Linked DNA regions of Saccharomyces cerevisiae S288C. The gene in region 2 interacts genetically with the main gene of each other region. Each region holds a gene or a part of one and is shown on either strand. Other genes may lie near its edges. The genes, in order: TIM11, GLR1, TCM62 and HXT8.

Evidence for each region.
Region 1: mutations in GLR1 (region 2) and TIM11 together harm fitness more than expected from each alone (negative genetic interaction), as found in Saccharomyces cerevisiae (one large-scale study listed by BioGRID).
Region 3: mutations in GLR1 (region 2) and TCM62 together harm fitness less than expected from each alone (positive genetic interaction), as found in Saccharomyces cerevisiae (one large-scale study listed by BioGRID).
Region 4: mutations in GLR1 (region 2) and HXT8 together harm fitness more than expected from each alone (negative genetic interaction), as found in Saccharomyces cerevisiae (one large-scale study listed by BioGRID).

The regions. Positions count from the first base shown.
Region 1 is NC_001136.10:1,110,596-1,115,357, reverse strand, and holds TIM11 (F1F0 ATP synthase subunit e), read left to right. Parts: upstream 1-3,064; coding exon 3,065-3,355; downstream 3,356-4,762. Other genes in the region: small subunit rRNA maturation protein UTP4, read left to right, coding at 1-925; PEP7 (phosphatidylinositol-3-phosphate binding protein), read left to right, coding at 1,331-2,878; mitochondrial 54S ribosomal protein mL38 MRPL35, read right to left, coding at 3,666-4,762. UniProt on the Saccharomyces cerevisiae protein: Mitochondrial membrane ATP synthase (F(1)F(0) ATP synthase or Complex V) produces ATP from ADP in the presence of a proton gradient across the membrane which is generated by electron transport complexes of the respiratory chain.
Region 2 is NC_001148.4:372,437-378,411, reverse strand, and holds GLR1 (glutathione-disulfide reductase GLR1), read right to left. Parts: upstream 2,911-5,975; coding exon 1,459-2,910; downstream 1-1,458. Other genes in the region: 40S ribosomal protein eS6 RPS6A, read left to right, coding at 17-22, 417-1,121; SSU1 (Ssu1p), read right to left, coding at 3,243-4,619; putative GTPase NOG1, read right to left, coding at 5,491-5,975. UniProt on the Saccharomyces cerevisiae protein: Catalyzes the reduction of glutathione disulfide (GSSG) to reduced glutathione (GSH). Constitutes the major mechanism to maintain a high GSH:GSSG ratio in the cytosol.
Region 3 is NC_001134.8:322,533-328,932, forward strand, and holds TCM62 (Tcm62p), read right to left. Parts: upstream 3,528-6,400; coding exon 1,809-3,527; downstream 1-1,808. Other genes in the region: QDR3 (Qdr3p), read right to left, coding at 1-1,413; protein phosphatase regulator GIP1, read right to left, coding at 5,641-6,400. UniProt on the Saccharomyces cerevisiae protein: Chaperone. Required for the assembly of succinate dehydrogenase subunits. Ensures mitochondrial gene expression at elevated temperatures and prevents heat-aggregation of the ribosomal subunit VAR1.
Region 4 is NC_001142.9:23,725-30,008, reverse strand, and holds HXT8 (hexose transporter HXT8), read right to left. Parts: upstream 3,123-6,284; coding exon 1,413-3,122; downstream 1-1,412. Other genes in the region: oligo-1,6-glucosidase IMA5, read left to right, coding at 3,923-5,668; REE1 (Ree1p), read right to left, coding at 6,280-6,284. UniProt on the Saccharomyces cerevisiae protein: Probable glucose transporter.

The DNA.
Region 1 (4,762 bases), on a different chromosome or scaffold from region 2:
ATTATTGAGAACTTCCACAAAATTAGTCAAGTTCATCGATAATTCCAAAATTGTCATATGCTCTTGCGAAGATGATGTATTTATTGTGGATCTAGAATCTGAAGAAGATGAAAAACCGCAAGAAGTTGAACTTTTGGAGGTTACTTCAACTAAGAGCAGTATCAAAGTTCCCTATATTAACAGGATCAACCATTTGGAAGTAGACCAGAACATTGCAGTAATTTCTCGTGGCTGTGGAGTCGTAGACATATTAGACTTAAAAGCAAGGATTTCTAAACCACTTGCTCGTTTGAATAATTTCATCACCGCTGTTCATATCAATACTTCTAGAAAATCTGTAGTAGTAATTACTGCAGACAATAAGATTTATGAATTCAATATGAATTTGAATTCGGAAGCCGAGAATGAAGATAGCGAAAGCGTATTAACTCAATGGTCAAAAAACAATACGGATAACTTACCAAAAGAATGGAAGACATTAAAAGAGAACTGTGTAGGGATATTTTCAGACATAGAAAATAGTAGCAGATTATGGTTTTGGGGGGCTACTTGGATATCAAGAATAGACTTTGATGTTGACTTCCCTATAAATAAGAGAAGAAAACAGAAAAAACGTACACACGAAGGGCTAACTATCACAGATGAAAGTAATTTCATGAACGACGAGGAAGATGACGAAGATGACGATATTGATATGGAAATCAGCGAAAACTTGAATGTATTATTAAACCAAGGAAACAAAATAAAGTCCACAGATGTACAAAGAAACGAAGAAAGCTCCGGTCACTTCTTCTTTACTGATAAATATAAACCTTTACTGTTTGTTGACTTAATTTCTAGTAATGAATTGGCAATAATTGAAAGAAATCCATTAACTTTTCACTCCAAACAAAAGGCGTTTATTCAACCAAAGTTAGTGTTTTGATTAATTTAAGTCAACATACCGAAGAATAGAGAGATGCTATTAAAAGGCTATCATACTCTAAGGGCATTTTTCAGTTACAAAAAACTCTAATGGCGTTAGTACTTTATAGAAACTCGCTAATGTAAAATAGCCAAGCACATACGCAGACATATATATGTAGTAATCACGTATGCAGACATTAAATGTGAGCCATTTATTGGTATAAATGTATTCCTGAATTACAAAAGTACTGGCGATGGAATCACTCTGGCTATCACTGTTATTTCCAGGCAGGGTAATACTTTGGGAAAACAATAGAATAATGAAAACATATGATCAGTAGCTAAATTGACCGACCTAAAGAGCAAAGCCGGATCTCATGGTTTTTAAAGGGATATCACCGAATTTCCTGGCGACTTATCTATTATGGATCTTGAAAATGTTTCATGTCCCATTTGTCTAAGGAAGTTTGATAACTTACAAGCACTAAATGCACATTTAGATGTTGAGCATGGGTTTAACGATAATGAAGATTCACTCGGTTCCAATGACAGTCGTTTAGTCAATGGTAAACAAAAAAAGGCCAGATCTGTTGATAGCAGTGCGCAAAAGTTGAAAAGAAGCCATTGGGAAAAATTCAAAAAAGGGAAGAGCTGCTGTCACACATGTGGAAGGACTTTGAATAACAATATTGGCGCCATTAATTGTAGGAAATGTGGTAAACTGTATTGCAGAAGGCATCTTCCTAATATGATTAAACTTAATCTTTCCGCACAGTATGACCCCAGAAACGGGAAATGGTACAATTGCTGCCATGATTGTTTCGTCACAAAACCTGGCTATAACGATTATGGCGAAGTAATAGATTTAACACCAGAATTCTTTAAGGTACGAAATATAAAAAGAGAGGACAAAAACTTAAGGCTATTACAATTAGAAAATCGGTTTGTCCGTCTAGTTGATGGTCTGATTACACTCTATAACACATATTCTAGATCCATTATTCATAATTTGAAGATGAATAGTGAAATGTCCAAGTTAGAACGTACAGTTACTCCATGGAGAGATGATAGAAGTGTACTCTTTTGTAACATATGTTCCGAACCATTTGGGCTATTACTAAGGAAGCATCACTGCAGATTATGTGGTATGGTTGTTTGTGATGATGCAAACAGGAACTGCTCAAACGAAATAAGCATAGGTTATTTAATGTCTGCAGCGTCAGATCTGCCATTCGAATACAATATACAGAAGGATGATTTACTTCATATTCCTATATCCATAAGATTGTGCTCGCACTGTATCGATATGCTATTTATTGGCAGGAAATTTAACAAGGACGTTAGAATGCCGCTAAGTGGAATATTTGCTAAATATGATAGCATGCAAAATATATCCAAAGTAATTGATAGTCTCCTGCCCATTTTTGAAGACTCATTGAATAGCCTGAAGGTGGAGACTGCCAAGGATTCTGAAAATACACTTGATCCAAAGAATCTGAATGATCTCGCTCGATTAAGACATAAATTACTCAATTCTTTTAACTTGTATAATACACTAACAAGACAGCTCTTAAGTGTAGAACCTCAAAGTCATCTAGAGAGACAACTTCAAAATTCGATCAAGATAGCTTCCGCTGCATACATAAACGAAAAAATCCTACCGTTGAAGTCGCTTCCGGCAATTTTGAACCCAGAGGGCCATAAAACGAATGAAGATGGGCAAAAAGCTGAACCAGAGGTAAAGAAATTATCGCAACTAATGATCGAAAACTTGACCATAAAAGAAGTGAAAGAGCTGAGAGAAGAATTGATGGTCCTAAAGGAACAAAGCTACCTTATTGAGTCCACAATTCAGGACTATAAGAAGCAGCGTAGATTGGAGGAGATCGTCACACTTAATAAGAACTTAGAAGAATTGCACTCAAGAATACATACCGTTCAATCGAAGCTGGGTGACCATGGGTTTAATTAAGACATATCTTTATTATTCGATCATTCGCGGAATCTCCACGCTAATTGGTCCGCGGAGCCAATCAGATCTATTTAAGGGTATAAATTTTTCTTTAGTTTTTTTGACTTTTCACACAGAAATTTTAGATAAAAGGAAGTATTATATCGGAACATAACGTATATAGGAACTAGCTGAGTGAGTTAAAGGATGTCGACAGTTAATGTTTTGAGATACTCTGCGTTGGGTTTGGGGCTATTTTTTGGTTTTAGAAATGATATGATTTTGAAGTGTAATGCTAAGAAGAAAGAGGAGCAGGCACAGTACGAGGAGAAATTGAAGCTGGTAGAGGAGGCAAAGAAGGAATACGCCAAGCTACACCCTGTAGTAACTCCTAAAGATGTGCCTGCGAACGCCTCATTTAATTTGGAAGATCCTAATATAGATTTTGAAAGAGTTATTCTTAACGCCGTTGAATCCCTGAAGGAAGCTTCAACATAAATAGAAGCTTCAACATAAATAGGATACTAAAAATGCACATTAGCTCGCACTGAATGACGAAGTTATGATGGATTCTCGTTCGCTAGATGTTCCATATTTTTTTCTTCATTCGTTAGTGCACAAACAATAAGGAAAAAAATGAAATGTATATATTCTAGAACATACTAATATCATACGTATCGTATTGTAAACAAAATTCACATTCCAAAAATTTTTCAGATTCTTACTTTATATTATTTGCATCAAGCTTTATTAACAATGACACGTTATTTTATATGTACAGGATACTATAATGTCATACTATTTAGGATCACCTTCTAACTCTGCTAAAAACCCTTCCAGGTGGTAGGCCATATTTTTCTCTGACGGCGGCGACTTTGGCATCCCATTCGCTTCTCCAGATATGTGCCCCAATAGCGGTTAGATTGTATTTCTTCGTAAATTGCCTGATATCAAAATCATCTCTACTTAGTTCCTTTCGGTCAATCTCTAACATGTTAGGACCTTGCTTATCCTCGATTAAGGGTTGTCTGAATACCCAAACAACGAATCTCTGTTTTCCAGCATTCTTTTCAGGTACCGGAGGTAAGTAGTCAGCGATAATATTAGAACTGTGGAACTTTCTTGGATCTATTAAATTGTCATTATAAGTCAAATTAATATTCACCAATCCGTAACACAAAGCCGTTTTAAATGAGTCATTACTCAAATCTGGAACATCAGGATTGACTATCAGTACCGTATACAATTGTTTTTCAACGTTCACAAGTTCATATTCTTGAATTTTGAAAATGGGACGCATGGATGTGACATTGGACGATAGAAATTCACCAGGTTCGATCCACTTATTTACACCAGTAGAGAAGGGAAATTTGATATTCACTTCTGCCCGTGGAACCAGAGTTGGAAGAGTATCAGGAATGGCAGCCAACGTTTCTAACCTTTGCATCAATAACATCTGGCCGTACGATTCCCAATGTTGTTTCCCCAAATGTCTGTACACTGGCACATCATAATCTATTATATCCTTAACATTGTTCAACTTGTTATTAAACTGAAAATTGTATTGTACCTCAGGATTATTGATCTCTGCTTTTATGAGAAGTGCATCCTTCTTCAAGGGATTTTTAGTCTTATTGGCCAACTCATAAAACTTACTGGATCTTTGCTCAAGAAAATCATAACTCATCCTGAAAATCTCATCAATGTGTTCTGGAGGTGAATATTTGATACGGTTACTTCTTCTGCTGATAGATGGTGGGTCTAGAGAAGCTTTCTTCTGGAAAAGGTAATTTTTCACTTTTGAAGATTGGATAGAAAGTGAACTAGGCCTTGTGGTAAAGTCCGACCAAATATGCGAAGTAGCATTAGGTTTTTGGAGGATTTTAGTGGTATGAATAGATCTTC
Region 2 (5,975 bases):
AGACAGACTATACATCATGAAGGTATGATTTATGATACTATTATTGAGGGGCAACAGAGAACTTTATATGTGGAAAAATGGCATGAAAGTTTGAAAGTGAGAAAGAACTAAACAGAACCAGACGTCGTAAAGATTTTAGAAATTTTTTATGGAAAGAAGCAGGAAGACTACCATATACTAATTGATGCGTTTGTGGCGTTATTTTTAAACAAACAGAGCGGGTTTACATATACTGTTACTACAAACCGTGAAATTGAAGCAGTTCATATACTTGGAGTATAGTCAATAAAAGACAAGCTTTTTCATCTTCCACTTAATAATTTCTCTAGAGTAATAAACTTCACCCTATTCAAACATTAATTTTGCAATAGTATACTAACAAATTTTCTTAATAACCTGTTGAAAATTTAAAATAGTTGAACATTTCTTACCCAGTTAACGGGTCTCAAAAGACCTTCGAAATTGATGATGAACACCGTATTCGTGTTTTCTTCGACAAGAGAATCGGTCAAGAAGTCGATGGTGAAGCCGTTGGTGACGAATTCAAGGGTTACGTCTTCAAGATCTCTGGTGGTAACGACAAACAAGGTTTCCCAATGAAGCAAGGTGTTTTGTTGCCAACTAGAATCAAGTTGTTGTTGACCAAGAACGTTTCTTGTTACAGACCAAGACGTGATGGTGAAAGAAAGAGAAAGTCCGTCAGAGGTGCCATTGTTGGTCCAGATTTGGCTGTCTTGGCTTTGGTCATTGTCAAGAAGGGTGAGCAAGAATTGGAAGGTCTAACTGACACTACTGTTCCAAAGAGATTGGGTCCAAAGAGAGCTAACAACATCAGAAAGTTCTTCGGTTTGTCCAAGGAAGATGACGTTCGTGATTTCGTCATCAGAAGAGAAGTCACCAAGGGTGAAAAGACTTACACCAAGGCTCCAAAGATCCAAAGATTGGTTACTCCTCAAAGATTGCAAAGAAAGAGACACCAAAGAGCTTTGAAGGTCAGAAACGCTCAAGCTCAAAGAGAAGCTGCTGCCGAATACGCTCAATTGTTGGCTAAGAGATTGTCTGAAAGAAAGGCTGAGAAGGCTGAAATCAGAAAGAGAAGAGCTTCTTCTTTGAAGGCTTAAAGTTAGAAAGCAGTAAAAGATAAATTCTTTTGTTCAAAAACTCCTTTCTTATTCTGTATTTTGTGTATTTTTAAGCTTAAAATCAAATAACTTTATTTTTTATATAATTAACAAAAAGAAAAATAATCATATGTATTGTAAACGAGAGTCGGAATGTATCCTCAACTGAATATCCAAGCGAGTCCACAGTAGCTAATAGTCTGAAAAAAAAAGGAACCCTTGTCCTTGAACAGAAATGACAAAATTACTACGTATTTCAGGATGCTATATAAGATTGTTTACAAGAGTACAAAAGTCCAGTATAGCAACAGCAGATTGGACGTCTAGTTTCGTTGCTTCATCTCATAGTAACCAATTCTTCTGCGCTAGTCGGATGAATAGCAACACAATTATCGAAATCAGCCTTAGTGGCACCCATCTTTATAGCAACACCGAACCCTTGCAAGATTTCTGCAGAGGAATCACCAACAATGTGCAGACCGACAACCTTTTCATTTGGTCCCGCACAAACAATTTTATATCTTGTGGGTGATTTCTCACTCAACATAGCATAGTACATGGCGGTAAATTTGGAATTGTAGACCTTTATATTCTCCTTACCGTACTTTTCAATGGCTTCCTTCTCAGAAATACCAATGGAACCGGCTTCAGGATGTGAGAAAATTACGCTGGGGACGTTCTCGTAATCTAGTTTGTCATTACGGAATTTCTCTGGACCAAACAGTCTATTAGACAGCTTTCTGCCCGCTGCAATAGCGACAGGTGTCAATTCAACTTTTCCAACAACGTCACCTAGAGAATAAATGTTTGGAACATTGGTGTTCTGATATTCATCAGCAATTATTTGGTCATGAGAGTTCAGCTTTATACCTACATTTTCTGAACCCATACCTAGATGGGATTTACGTCCAATTGTCCAAATTAATTCGTCAACGTCATCGATGGACTTTGAGTCATTCATATGTATTTTCAGTTTGTCAGTTTCTACATTTTTCTCCACCTTAACAATTTTGGATAGTTTATGAACGTTGATGCCTTCCTTTACGTAATGGTCAGTAATAGTGTTCTGGATGCATTCATCAAATTTTCTCAAGACAGTTTCACCTCTAATTACCAAGTGCGTTTCGGATCCCAGCCCATGGAACACACCTGCTAGCTCAATACCAATATAACCAGCGCCAACAACAACAACTTTCTTAGGTTGTTCTTCCAATCTAAAGAACCCATCAGAATCAGTACCTAATTCGAAACCTGGAATGTTTTCGGGGAAAATAGCCTTTCCACCGGTCGCAACTAAAATATGGTTAGCGGAGTAAACTTCAGTAGTATTATCCCTTTTCTGAACTTCAACATTACCGTCCTTATTGAATCTAGCCCATCCAAATACAACATCCACTTTTTCTTTTTCTAAATTCTTCTGGTATATACCGTTCAACCTATGGACATAAGCATCCCTTTTCTGCTTAAATTCTGGCCAATTAAAAGTCAAATGCTCTTTATCTAATGGAAGATTCTGATATAATCCATATTCATTTGCATGGGATACTCTAGTAGCGAGGTCAGAAGCATACCACATGACTTTCTTCGGAACACAACCCACGTTAACACAGGTACCACCAAGAGCCTTAGCTTCAACTAGTAATGTCTTCGCACCATAAGATGCAGCTCTTCTTGCGGAAGCAACACCCCCTGAGCCACCCCCGATGACGAGGTAATCGTAATGCTTGGTGTTCGTGGACATAGTTCTTATCTGTAGACTTCTAAATGTTTGTTTGGTTGCAGAAAGCATAAAGTTCTGTAAACTAATATGTAAATAGATATATATACATATGAAGGAAAGCAGCAAAATATACTGAGAGTGAGAAGCGCATGAGAAAAACCAGAAGTGTTTCTTATACTTTTTTAGACTGATTTTAATAGTAGATTCCAAATGGAAAGCTCCGAAATCCTCGAAAAATTGACAAGGGTCGTGCTTACTAAGTGACGTCAAAAAATATCAGGCATAGTGAAAACCAACGTGAAGAAGCAAAAGCAGCAAAGCGCCGTGCAAATGAATTAAACTATCTATTGAGACTCCTACATGAAATGCTTGCCAATTATGTACGTATAAAACCAACAATTTTATGCTAAACGCGTAAAATCTAGAGCCGAGTTTGATTCTTCCACGCTTTCAATGCTGTTATACGGAGAAACTGTCGTCTTTTCCGTACCTGACTCTGAAAATAATGAAGATTTACGGGCAGCATGCAGCATCTTTTTAGAATACTCATGCAATGTGCATAAAAGGCATAGAATTGACCAACAAACGCAAACACCGCCGTATATGGTTCCTAGGACTCTAAATGCATATAAGGGAACGTACTGGTTATACTGCACATATAACTCTTCGTTTCCTAAAGACATAGTACCCATCGGGAAAGTCATCCCCCAAAAACCTTTGTGGAAGGTATAAACTCTCTTCACTTTTCCTGTCTCGTTTTCAATCTCTTTTTTATTGTAGTACGACAGGATTGAAACGACAGAAATCACGGTGAAAAAATAGCCCATAGCGAGCAATGCCATAGCAGAAACCATGCCTAGAATTTTGAAACACCATGGAACTGCAATAGTCAATATCTCTTGTTCTCTTGTAATGTTATCTGTTGGGTAATATTTGCCCGCATATTTTTTTATATTATCTGTAAGCAATAAGACTCCAAAACTTCCTTGGCCCATCGGGCCCAAAAGCAGGAATAAGGTGAAAACCTGTGTCATTGGTGGTATCTTATTAATATAAAGACTCCAGAAGTATATCGCAATCAGTATGAAGACGAAGATAATGGCATGCAGCCACGTTAAGGCACATATGACCAACGTTATCAGTTGAATGTTTCTATTAAACGCATGGAAGAATATTTCTGACATTGTGAATGTTCCACAACTTGAAGCGACGACAACCAGCGGAATGATATCCAGTAGCAATACACTTTTCATGTTTTCGGATGCCATTTTGATATTATATGAAGGATAATTCCCAATCCCTTCCAAAGGGTAATAGTCATGCCAGATGAGAAACGAGATACCCCACGCTATTACTAGACAGACTGCGAGATCATACCACCACAAGACGTAAACAAATATCATCAAATTTCTGGCATTAGTGGGGCTCTTCGTCGTGTTCGCTTTCGAGAGTGCTCCTAAGAAATTTATAATTGTAACTAACCCCATGGGATAAGTACCCCAAAATAAATTGTGCTTCATATTTCTGAAAAAGTCATTAAAATATTCTCTGAAGCTTTTCTCCTTAATATAGACAATCAAATGTAATATTTGTAGTGCCTGCACAGCAATGAAAATAAGGCAAGCGATAGCAAACATGATGTAGGAGCATATTCTTAGCCACCTTGCAGGATATGGGAAGCTATATAGAATATTCGATGAAATGCCGACACCCATGACCATCATAAACATGAAGGGGTCAAACTGCCTCGTAAGAGCAAGTACCCAATTGGCAACCATTTTTTTCTTGTACTTGTCTTCTCTTACACTATAAAACGTTTTTAAATTGCGCGTATTGTCTGAGCTCAATCAACAATCGTTACTAGGGGAAAGCTGTAATTTGTGTGTTGTCTAAATGCGGAGAATTTGTTCAGCCAATATCACAAGTTTCAACTTAACAAGACAAGGATTAGAAATAAGAACTACACGCTGGTTGGCTATTCTTTTAGAACCTCTAGTTAAATAGGTAAAATAAGCAAAGTGAGCAAAAATAAGCAAAAGAAGTCAAAGACAACCCCAATGTGCCAAAGACGGCGATGAGTCTTCTGTTTTTTAAGATTCATGCACTCTCAGATTTTCGGCTACAGACGCGGCACAAGGATGAAAAAAAAAAAATGATAGTTTGCAGGAATTTATCAGTCAATTGATGGGAGACATCGCTATTGTTGCCTTATACGATACACTGCAAAAACGATAACAATTTCTTATTTGTCAACCTCGTGGGAGACTCGATAGGTTGCATGATGATGTGTCACAAAAAAGTAGAAGTGTCATCTTGACGCTATCCCACCCCTTCTTTTTCCACATGCTTAATTATTTGTATACATCCAGTGACATACAAAAAAATAGTAGAACATGGAGGGGTCGGCTTGTTGGATAATTTAAATCGGTTTATTATTATTATACAGATTAAATAAAATTTTTTTAAAAAAAAGATACAGAAAAAGTGAGAAAGAAAGAAAAAGAAACCACTAATAGTGAGAGAGATAATCAAATGTAAATGGTAATCCTACCAGCCCAAAAAGATTAGAATGTCGTGTACGTACATCCACATTTTATATTCATATTTTTTTTAAAGTACATGCAAAAGAAAGAATAAGAAGTAGAGAAATCAACGGAAATCTGTCTTACCGACACCACGCTTACCACTGAATAAATGCTTTGATAAGGAAACAGCATTGTGTCTATCAGATTCACCTTGCTTGGCATGTCTATTTCTTTCTCTTCTTTCCATCTTGGCCATCCTGTCGGCCTTGGATCTCATGGAGCCATCAGCAACACCATCCAACAGTCTATCGGTTTGTCTCAACTTGACACCGTTTTCAGTGGAAGCTGTCAAAGCATCTTGGTCGCCAAAAACAACATCAGAACCTCTTTCAACATAACGGTTCTTACGAGCAGCACGGTTCTGTTTATCTTGTAAGGCTGACATGTCATGGCCCAAAGTGGACATGTGTTCTTCCATTTTACCAAAGGACTTAGTTAGTTTAGAACGTGGCATGATAGCTTTGTTCTTCAAGGACTTCCTATTTCTTGCTTCAGCAATCATCGTCTTTTGTCTATTTCTAATCCATGCAGCTTTCTCCTTGATATCAT
Region 3 (6,400 bases), on a different chromosome or scaffold from region 2:
TAGGAAGTGCAATGATTTTAAAGGCTTGATAAAATAAACAAAAAAGGTGTCCCAGACCTTCCTCACCGCTGATACCTGTTTAGGAGCGATTTCACCTCCATTACTGGATAGCACTTTTTTGACTTGCTCTTCCAGGTTGGTTTGTAATTTTCTCAGACTATTTTCTCGAATCGATCTCGCTAACTTTGGATCTGTTGATCTTATTCTCGTAACTTGTGCTGTTGTTGCATCGATACCGCTATCATCTAGCTGATATTCATACAGACTTCTACTCGCCTCTGTATAAATCCGTTGCAATTGGGTTTCTCCAGCTCGACCATCATAAGTATTGGGGCTAGAGTGACTTTCTAAATCTAGCGAGTCTTGATCCCTTACCTCTCCAACGTAGTTATGCTTCTCAGTAGATAATGTGGCAACTTGGTTTTCAATTCGATCTGTCTCATCTTCTCCCCTCTGATAATCTTCTTGTATCTCTCCACGTTCGTTATTGTCTACTTGAATACGTCTTTCAGCCAAAATTTGAGCGATAGCGCCTTTAGAATCTTGTTTTCTTAATGTTTCAGGTAGTAACACCGTCAAAAGAATGACATTACATCCGGATAAAATAACCATAAACCATTGAGTGGATCTCCAGGGCCAGCGATTCACTAACAAAGATCCAAAAATTGGAGATAGTAGCGGCGCCAGTAGTGGACCCAAATAGTAATAACTCAAATTTTTACCTCTATCTTCGCTAATATATAAATCAGCCACTGTTCCAGCACCTACACTTTGAACACTGGCAGAAGCAGCCCCACAGAGCATTCTCAAGGCAATAAATGAGTTGATATCAGGAGCTAGAGCAGACCCGATATTAAATGCAAACAATAATGCAAATGAAGTTATGTAAGTAGTTCTTCTGCCCTCTAGCTCGGATAGAGAAGACCACCACAATGGGAAAACACCAAGACTTAAAAGGTACACACCAATTGAAACGTTTACCATAATCACTGATGTTTTAAATTCTGTTGTGATTGAGTTGATCGCTGGAAAAATGATAGATGTGCCCATGGGGCCCATCATGGAGGAAAACGCAATCAAGAAGACAATCATCTTTTTCATCATCGGTGGATAATCTCTGGCATCCTTGAACTCCGGTATAATGGCGAGTTGAGGCAATAGTCCCCTACGTTGATTCTTTGGAACAACGTATTCCTCACTCTTCAACCTACTTAGCTGGTTGTCTCTGTGTTCACGACTATTTGATGCCGTACTTTCCAGATTGGTCTTTTCGTAACTATAATCGTTGTGCTCGCTGTGCGGGCTGCCGCTGCTTTCATCGCAGTGCATCATAACATGATTGTTCGGTAGTGAATTGTCAGAGCAATTACTCCTCAAAGACCCTACATTCGATTGTGAACCTTGGGCTTGCATGTTTATCGCTTTCTGACTTCGGTCCTAGCATAGACGTTAACAAGTTAGAAAGATGTGAATACATATGCCTTCAACCCTGTTTTCTTTTAAGGATACAAGGACACAGCTATTACAACAAATTTTGTTGGTTTCTATCTTATCTAATCGATAATCTTTTAATATTTTAATCTAATCGCAGTTATCCAAAACTGGAATGAGATGGTTCAAATCCCCAAAGGTAGATGGAGTTACTGCTGAGGCGTGGAAAAACCCGAGTTTTTCCGAAGCCGCATATGAGAAATTGAGCAGGAATAATAGATATTTACGAAGAGGTAAAAGTGATAAAAGGCAGCGCCGTGGCAATATCTATTTACAATGACTCATTCTGACTATTTAAAAGTATGTAAGGGCTTTATCTAGGCTTTGTGCCGTTCAGGCTTTTTGTATACACATGTGATAATTGTATTACAGCTTGTAAGTAATTCAATGAACGTTTCTACACCGGCTAAACAAGAATCCATTTTGCTCCATGGCTCCAAGTTTCCATCCTTTACTGTGTTCACCGGTTCTGAATTTGGAGAAAACTTGGCCATTGGAAACGATTTTTCGTTTATAGCGCCTGCTATCAGGCTATTGATCTCATAATAGTTGTACCCATATGCATTCTTAAACGCCACTTCTGATGGGAGAATAACTGCTGATAAAACAGCATTGATGCCTACCTTAGTCATGAAATTGGGTTCATTTGCTTTCAGTTCATTCAAACCTGGAATTGCCTTCAGTAGGGAGATGCCGTAACCTGGGATGAAACCTTTGGCCAGCCCATGACATAGGACGTTATTTAAGCAATTATCTATTGCATTTCTTCTTCTGTCGATTTCGATTTCGTTATGTCCACCAATGCTTAAAGTGACCGTATTTTGGAGGAAGGATTTCGGAACTTTATTTGGAATCGCTTCAGCATCAATGGAGTTATATAAGAATGCCTCCCCTGTGGTCGCTTTTATGGATTCGATACTGCCGTAATATTTATCCGCACACATTTTGCTTGGCACTAAAGGACTATATTCTGGTGAGTAGATGCTGTCATATCCGCAAGGCAACCGTAAGAACTTTATAAAATCAAGATTCTCCTGTGGCGCTAAGTCATTGTTCGCCTTTTTAGAGTACTTCAAAACCACTATTCGGCTTTCATTATTTTCTCTCTTGTTTCTGTTATTGTTAATTGTAACGGATGTTAATGCATCACCTGTGCAATCTCCGTTAACGATTAAGAGAACAGATTTTCTCAACTTTCTTGCATACGTTATCGTGGGTAGAATTTTATTAGCGTCTCGTAACGTCCCATCATACATAAGAACTAGCATATCTTTATCAATGGAAACTAATTTCTTAGTAGGCAACTCCAGGGACCTTAAATAGGCTTCATTACTATCTAAAATACCAGCTGGATATTTCCAACCCTTGGATACATCAACCTCATCGTAAGTTTTGTTGCCGTTTATGACCCGCACAATGTCATCCGAAAACAATTCATAATTAATGGCTTTCAAAACCCTTTTGATGCTTTGGCTGTCTGAGGAGGACATAGTCAATTGCTCGACCAGAGCATCAACATCGTTTTGACTTTTCACTATAATCTTGTTCTTCGCAAGAAAATCTCTGATATATCGTAATCCGGCCTTGATCCCATTGGTCACTTCTTTTTCGGGATACTTGAAATAGTGCTCCAGTAAAGAGCATGTCAAAGATGTTGAAGTTGCTGTTAAGTTGTCCTGAATGCAATCCATGAATAATTGTAGACCAACCCTCCCCAGCTTTCGAGGCCTGTTTGATTGAAGTCGTGTGTTGGTAGCTTCATCTACTTGTAGGGAATCTAGTAACTCACGCATTACATTGTGAAGTCTCATGGTATCATGAGAACTAACGACCTGTGGCTTGGATTTATACTTAGGTTCATATATCAATGTTTTATTGTAGGAGGATGAAGTTATTATTTTTTCCAACAGCTTAATACCAGAGAGCGTATCTCTGAGAACCTGAAGGTTTTTTGTTCTATAGATTGGGGTGTGTAACGTTTTTACCGAACATTTCGTTTGATGATTTCCCAATTTCCTCAAACAATTCCTCAGCATACTCGTTAAAGCATAAGAGAGTTTTATGTTTACAGTAGTGTGGGAGAAAATAACGCCAGGTTAAAGCTCGTAAAAGGTAAACTATCGCACTATCGAAACTTTTGTTTCACAGGGAATGGAAGAAAGGGCCTTTATTTTTTACATTTTTTTAAGCCATAACGGATTTTAGTTACCGAGATTTTCAATCCTATAAGAATTACCTAAACTATTAAAAGCGGACCCATCTAAAACATAACGTTCGGCAAGTAGATGTATTGTTCCAAAAAGGCAATACATCCATACAACGGTGCCACCGATCTGTAATGAATGCTCCGTAATGTTTGGGGGATTCATTAAATTTACTGCTGGAACCGAGAGAGAAACACGACAGAGCAATTCATATAAATGAATAAATGAAAACTCGGTCGTATTGCCCTTAAACGTTTATAGGACCAGGTTGGCTACTTCCTCATCTCAATTTTGTGATAGGGGAGGTCTGCGTAAGGAATCAATTCGGATACCTTGGTAGTACTTTTAGGGGCACATTTTTTATTTCTACTTCTTGTATTATTAGGTATCACTGAGATCTATCTCTAATGATGCCTTCACTCCCACAGATAGCGGAAGACATTAATGCACTTCAAATCAAAACTTCTTCAACTAAAGCTACTCTTTTCGAACGCAGAAGATATAATTTCATTCCTAGAGACTTTCTACGAACCTAAAGTAGCAAATTTAAAAAAATAAAGAGTTTGATCCAACCGAGGTTCGAACTCGGGATCTTCGCCGTGTAAAGGCGACGTCTTGAACCACTGGACCATTGGACCCGGAACTCGATACTATGTCATTTTTGGATATCGGTTAGTTGTATACATTGGATATCTCATCTAAAAGCATTACGCATGCCCTATAACTGGTAAATTCAATGAATGTTTTGTAAGTTGAGGGGATGCTAATTCCCTACGAAGTATTTCTATATTATGTGCAACTACATCAAGAAGATAATATTAAAGTTGTTGGAATAAGAATCTGTTGGAATGGAAATCAACTATCGTCCATCAACTATAGTTATACTACTGGTATTATCATATACGATGTTAGATGATGACATAAGCTATGAAAAAACTGCCATTGAAGTTAAAGGAAGCTGAAATGCAAAGATTGATAATGTAATATGATAATGAAACATTTAAAACGGAATGAGGAATAATCGTAATATTATTATGTAGAAGTATCGATTCCATTCGAGGATTCCTATATCCTCGAGGAGAACTTCTAGTATATTCTGCATACATAATATTATAGCCTTAATCAATAAAAACCCCAAGAATTACCTCAAAATTCACCAATATCTCAAAATCAACCTTCATCTGTCTACCAGTAGTCATATTATTATATGTTATCATATACAGTGTAAAAAAGATGATATAAAGATTGAAAAACAGTCATCAGATGTTTGGGAAGCTGAAATAAAATATAGTAGGACAATGGGTGACAATATATAAAATGGAGAAAGAAATAGTAGCCTTATTACGTAAAAGTATCAATCTCTTTTGTAAATTTTTGTATCCTGGGGAAGAACCTTTATCATATTCTCTATTCCTAATGTTATAACCTTAACAACAACGAAATCCCAAAAATTATGACAAAATCCACCAATATATCAAAATTCACATAAAGAAAGCCGTATTCTATATAACATTGCAGAACATTTTTCTAACACATTACCAATCGTCAAAGTTCTGCCTTTACTAAATCAGGTGCTGAATTTTGAATCATATATAAATAGCCAAGTAGTTTGTGCGGTCGATTCCAACGCCGCTTATAATCCTATTCCAGCAATATTAACAATGTAGTCTTAAACTGATATGGTAACGACAGATAGAAGATAGCTGACCCATATTCAACCAAATATCTTGTCTAGAAAGGCGCATTTGATAGGCAAAAAATTGCACAGGCGTATTATCTTTGTATGCTAATGCTTTTTTATGTTATTCACTGAATACTAACTATCAGTAGTTGATTCCCTCTTAGCTACAAATGCATAACTATATGTATAATCACGTAGATAATGTATTGATGTAAAGTGAAAACAATTTTACAGAGTATTGGCAGTTAAGTGTTGTTTTTTCGCTCAAAAAACATCCTCATCAAGCGATATAATTTGTGCCCCTTGACTACTTATACCTTTCAGTTGCCTACCAATGTTTCTTTCCGTAGCTCTCATACTAAGTATGATATCAGATTTATCATTAACGGAATCTTCGCATTCAACAGCCGCAAAATCCAAAGGATATTCTTCAGAATAGTACTTGCTTAGTTGCTCTCCTCTCAGTCTATAATTTTCTGCTTCATTTCTCTGCCTTTTATACTCTGTATATTGAAAATAATGTAAAAATTGGGCTACACCTACTGTGTCACACTTCGAAGCTCTCTGAGACTCCTCATCATGCTGTGAATTCATCTTTGTCTTTAGAATTGACCTCATTTCAGTAGTCGAATAACCACTTTGAGTCTCATCTTTGTTTAACTTTTTAGATTTTTTGTAGATTAAAAGACGTGAGTTTTCATCAAACCTAACACTTGAGGTACTCCGATCCTTTATACAAAGATCTGTATCCATTTCTGAAATGTTTTCGCTGTCAGATAACTCTGCATCTTCTTCGTTATCAACATATGGATTGAAAGCATCATAGAATCTTTTATTTCTAAAATTCACGCATCTTTTCTTTTTTTGATGACTTTTGATCAAATGCGTTAAGTTATCTTGGCTTAAATCAGCTTTACCAACTTTTGAAAGAATTTGTGATATATTGGTCCTATTAGTAAGGCCGCGAAATGTGGGGATAGTATAAATTTTACTACTTCCACTTGAGCTTGTATCAGATAAATCG
Region 4 (6,284 bases), on a different chromosome or scaffold from region 2:
TCCCAGTTGTCTACTTACAAATAATGACGTTCGTGTAAGTTTAGAGACTATCGGCACGCTCTAAAATGTGACTATATCGATATCGATTTGGCGGTTTTCACCAATAACAAAATGGGTGAAACATAGCTGAATTTTCTGCAATTCTTAGAATCCTATTATGAAATATTGGGGCCTTGAGCATTAAACCGACACCCGAACAAATTGAATATTTCGAAAATTGTTCTTTTCGATGTCATTTTTACCAAAAGTTAGATAGGAGATGACCCAGCGGTTACCTGTATTTCAGAGGTTACAACAAATTAAAGCGGTCTTATATTACTTTAGAAGCACCAACTTACATATTCTGGATAAACAGTATTTCTAACTTACTACTAGTTTAGTAACACATGTTCGTTACAGATAAGCCATTCAAAGATAATTAAAATCAGTTGCGCCATTATTAAAGGCCGAGAAATATATCAAGGTTTTCAGCTTAAAGGGATTTGCTGACTTTCTTATGCACTAACGCGCCAACATCGTCCTTTTAAAAATTAAGTCAACTCATCGCTTAGCGCTTAGCGCTAATGCTGGTCTTCCTCGAAGAGAACATGCGTTCGTATTGAGATATAAGTAAATATTGTGGTAATTACCGGAGTTTCATTGTTAAAAAAGAGTATGGAATTATGAATACAGAATAGGCCAGGAATTTTCATGAGACTATGGGAAATTGCCAAGGGAATCAATAATTCCACATAATGTAATTTTTCTTCTTCCTTTCTATGTGCCCTCGTTTATTTCCTATTACATTGCTACTCCTTTTATTTCAGCTTTTATTAATTCTGAAATCATTAGTAATATAAATTCTGGGTTAGGAAATCATAATTGATCTCATTCCAATGCACTAGAATACCTATGTACACACGAAAGTGCTTAAGTTATCATATGACGAACAGAGAATATCATATGTTCCATTTTTATTTTTCTATAAACAAAAGTTGCGTATTATTGTATTTTTTTGTTGTGTTATGCAATAAGCAGAGGCTACGATGTATTAATTAATCGGTTCCTCAAAAAAAAAAAAAAGTGATCTATAAAGCGTTGACGATAATCAATACTTTGTTATATTTTGGTAGTCCTGACGGGTTTCAAAATAAACAAAGTTAACAATCCGCCTACTAATTTGATTTGCTTTTTTTCATGGGCAGTAACATCAAGAAAACACTTTGTTGTTAAGCCCATCTAAGTATCATATTACCAAATCTTCTGTGAGTAAAATGATATAATAGGACTCAACGTGACTGTCAGTCTTCAGTAGCCCTGGTGTTTAATATATCGAATCAGTCTTAGGAATTAAAAAGCCCCTATATTACAGAGGGCATTGGACATTATTTATCAATGTACTTTGAAGTTTGCTTGCGTGTGTTTTCACCGGTCTAAAACATTCTTTTGTAGAAGGGTTTCTCGTCATGCTGTAATTTTTCGTTATCATAATCACCATCCCTTCTAGAAGCTGGTACCCAGGATTCAGATTTCCAAGGTAATACACCGTCCATCCACATCTCATCAACTTCTTCTAAAGTTAGACCTTTTGTTTCTGGAACAAAGAAAAAGACGTAAAAATATGAAAACGCTAAGCAACCCATGAAAACGTAACCGTAGTAGAAATTAATTGCCGAAGTAATAAAAGGAGTGAAAAACCCGATTAGGAACCCCCACAATAAGTTGGCCGCTGTTGCAACGGACATACACTTGGATCTCACCCTTAATGGAAATGTTTCAGAAATAATCACATAACATACAGGTCCCCAGGTGCAGGAAAAGCAGAAAATGTAAAAACACGTGAAAACAATCGTACAATTACCAGCACCTTTAGATGATGGTTCACTTTTACCGTTCGGATATAGTCTTGTGACGCCAACGGAGGCGTAAATAACCATGCACGCCGTCATGGTGGCTGCTCCAAGTAAAAGACATCTACGACGGCCCAACTTATCAACAGAATAAAGTGAAAAGAAGCAAGAAGCAAAATTCACAATACCCAAGACAATTGAAGTCTCAAAAGAGTCATTCATACCGACAGATTTGAAGATAGTAGTACCGTAGTAGAAGAAATAGTTGTCACCGGTTAGTTGCTGCAGAGAGTTAATCATGACTGTCATCGTTAAACGTTGAAAAACTTTAGTCTTTCTCGAAAATAATTCCTTCCATGAAGCAGTTCCCATTGCTTCTTCTGCCTCCACACCAGCAACAAGAAGATCAATCTCTGCAACCACAGCAGGATCGTCAACACTAAGCTTGTTCGACTTGGCAAAAGAAGCTTTAGCTTGCTCAATCTTACCGACTTGCACCAAAAACCGAGGAGATTCCGGAACAAACGTCATACCACCAATCATAATAATAGCCCATGCAAAACATAGACCAAGCGGAACACGCCACTGGACAGAATTCGAGTAAGTCTTGGTACCATAATTGGTACAATAACCCAAGAAAATTGCGAAAGTCACCATCAATTGCCAACAAGCTAGCAACGTACCTCTGATATGCTTTGGCGCAGTTTCCGAAATAAGCATCGGGGCAAGAACACTAATGGAACCAGCACCTATACCAGCGATAATTCTTCCAATAAAATACTGATACCACTTATCTATAGAGGCAATTTGAATGACAATACCAACCATATAAACGACAATAACTATAATCAAACCCATGCAGCGGCCGTAAATATCACCCAATTTAGACAAGAAAAGACAGCCAATGGCGCTTCCCACATTGAAGATGGACACAATCAACCCAGTTCTCACATTAGATAAGTAGTAAGTGTTCTTGGAATGGCTATAATTACCAAATCTTCTTAAAAAATCAGTCTGATTGACGAAACCAGAAATCGTACCTGTGTCCCAACCGGACATAAATCCACCGAAAGCCATACATAAACACATGATAGAAACAGTAGCATAGGCTGAAGCAGGCTTTTCTGGAACAACAACTTCCTCTGCCTCTTCCCCATTATACTCGGAAAAGTCCTTGTTTTCCTCCACTGTAGGTACTGACAGATGTGAAGAATTTTCTATCGAAGGGCAGCCATCATCTTCTGCCTCTTCGAAAATCGGTTCTTCTGGCAAGTTGGTTTTACGATCAGTCATGGTTTTTGCTGGCGTTCTGAGCTAACTAAAAGTGACTTATAAAAAATGCAATCTAAAATAAGAATGAAACAAAAATGGTCGTTTAAATATATCTAGTCAAGCTTCATCCCTTACAATGGTTAGCGATGATATTCCGTCGTCCAAAAGATTACGACCATGCCAGTTCATATTATTTTACTTAAGAGTTCATGTCTTTCATGCGAAGAAGCGTTCGGAAATTCCAAAACTTCTTAGAGTTCAGGAACAGGCCCGGTCGCGGAATTATTCTCGGGATAATTCCAGCCGCTTGGCAGGTAGGCTAAATTACACATTTCAAGAACTTTCTCCGGCCTTTTCTGTGAGATACGTTTATAAGTTGCTGCAGCAGGATGCTCTAGGCTGCTTTCTCTGGAATTTCTCTCCTTCTCCACATACCTCGTTGTTGAATCCCCGCGGAGGTGATATAATAAAGTTGCGTGAAAGCGTAAATGCCTAGACGGAGAAAAGAAAACGGGGAAATAAACTTTGCATTATTTTTCCTCCGTGGAGAATCCTCGGAGAAACACGGGAATATTTGAAACTATTTGCAACATTGTCCATTGAAATAGTCACAATCCTAGAAGCTAATTCACCGGAAAAAGTAATTCACACTTAAGAATTGTATCTTCCATTACCGCTACGGTAATTGATACGGTTTTGAGGAGTAAGTTCATAAACGTCTGACGAATTATAAATTAGGACACTTGTTCACATATCTTGGTGCGAAAAACTACTGTTTCTTGATGACTATATAGAAAGTGCTCAATATTGAAAAGAAAAACATGACGATCATCCATAATCCTAAATGGTGGAAAGAAGCCACCGTCTACCAAATTTATCCTGCTAGTTTCAAGGACTCCAACAATGACGGATGGGGTGATTTAGCTGGGATTACCTCCAAACTTGACTATGTCAAAGAATTAGGTGTCGATGCGATATGGGTGTGCCCATTTTATGACTCTCCTCAAGAAGATATGGGTTACGATATTGCCAACTATGAGAAGGTTTGGCCACGTTACGGTACCAATGAGGATTGTTTCCAAATGATAGAAGAAGCTCATAAGAGAGGTATCAAGGTTATTGTTGACCTGGTTATCAACCACTGTTCTGAAGAGCATGAATGGTTCAAGGAGAGTAGATCTTCTAAGGCTAATCCAAAGCGTGACTGGTTTTTCTGGAGACCTCCAAAGGGTTACGATGAGAAAGGTAATCCAATTCCTCCCAACAATTGGAGATCTTTCTTTGGTGGATCTGCTTGGAGATATGACGAAAAAACTGGTGAGTTCTTTCTGCATGTGTTTGCTCTTGGCCAACCTGATTTCAATTGGGAAAATGAAGAGTGCCGTAAAGCCATTTATGACTCCTCAGTGGGCTATTGGCTACGTCACAACGTTGATGGCTTTCGTATTGACGTAGGCAGCATGTATTCTAAGGTTGAGGGCCTACCCGATGCTCCTATCACTGATCCTACAGTTCCTTACCAAAAAGGAACTGAATTTTTCATAAATGGGCCACGTATCCATGAGTATCATAAAGAAATGCATAACTACATGCTCTCGCAAGTTCCAGAGGGTAAAGAAATCATGACTGTTGGAGAAGTTGGTATCGGGAATGAAGACGACTTCAGAGTTTATACCAGTGCCAAAGAAGGAGAACTAAATATGATGTTCAACTTCAAGCACACCTCAGTAGGTGAAAACCCAAAATGCAAGTACGAACTTATTCCCTTTACTTTAAAAGACTTTAAGCTGGCTCTTGCTGAAAGCTTTCTGTTTATCGAAAACACAGATTGCTGGTCGACCATCTATTTGGAGAATCATGATCAACCTCGTAGCGTTTCGCGTTTTGGCTCAGATTCTCCTAAATGGCGTGAGATTTCGTCCAAGATGTTGGCTACTCTCATCATTTCATTGACTGGTACTGTTTTTATCTACCAAGGACAAGAATTGGGTATGCCCAACTTCAAAAACAGAAAAATTGAGCAAATCAAATGCGTTGAAGGTACTGGTACATATGCCGCCATTAAACGTGATTATGGTGAAGATTCTGAAAAGATGAAAAAGTTTTTTGAAGCATTAGCTTTGATCTCTAGAGATCATGGGAGAACACCATTCCCATGGAGTGCTGATGAGCCTTCTGCAGGTTTCTCGAAGGATGCCAAACCATGGATTGACATGAATGAATCATTTAGAGACGGAATCAACGCAGAAGCTGAGTTAAAAGATAAAAACTCAGTCTTCTTTTTCTGGAAAAAGGCCTTACAAGTTAGAAAGGAGCACAAAGATATCCTTGTTTATGGACATAACTTTCAGTTCATTGATCTTGATAATGACAAGCTATTCATGTTTACAAAGGACACAGATAACAAAAAAATGTTTGCTGTTTTCAATTTCAGTAGCGATAATACGGACTTTTCAGTTCCTGATAATGAGGCCTCCTACACCATGTTTTTTGGCAACTATGCAAACTCAAATGGTGATTCCCGCACCTTGCAGCCATGGGAAGGAAGACTTTACTTGTTGAAGTAACGAGCACATTTAACATAAACGTACTGATCTTTCGAAACAAATAGTTATGCCGATATTTATGAATAATAAACTTGTATATTTCTTTTTACTTTTGCTTTTCATATGTGAGCATTGGATACTTAACTTACGCTGTACGCTATTTTCAATTGCAATTTATATATGTATATAGAAGACAGAAAATTCACTGAACCTTTTTCCGAAGAAATATAAAATAAAAAGCAACGTACAGCAGAAAAATAGAAAACATCATTATTACTGTTTCTATTGTCTAAATTTAGCCCTTTAAACCCCATCATCATAAGTACTAATTACCACGAATTCAATAATTAGTAAATACATTCGACTATTCTCACCCTAACTTTCGTCACTTTATCTTAAAACACTAGCTAAAAGTCGTTTATTATAACAAAACTAAAAATTTCGTAGTATGCACGCCTTATTGCCCAGTATTTTGTTAACTGTATGGATTGTACTAGTAAAAAAAATCTTGACGAAATTGAGTATAAACAAAATTTTAAAAAGCATAGTGCCAAATCAACAGATCTTAGTGAGGTGCAGGCCTTGTTCTTAACAAAAGCAAACCCCTCTTTATATATTGATATATAGGTGAACTAAC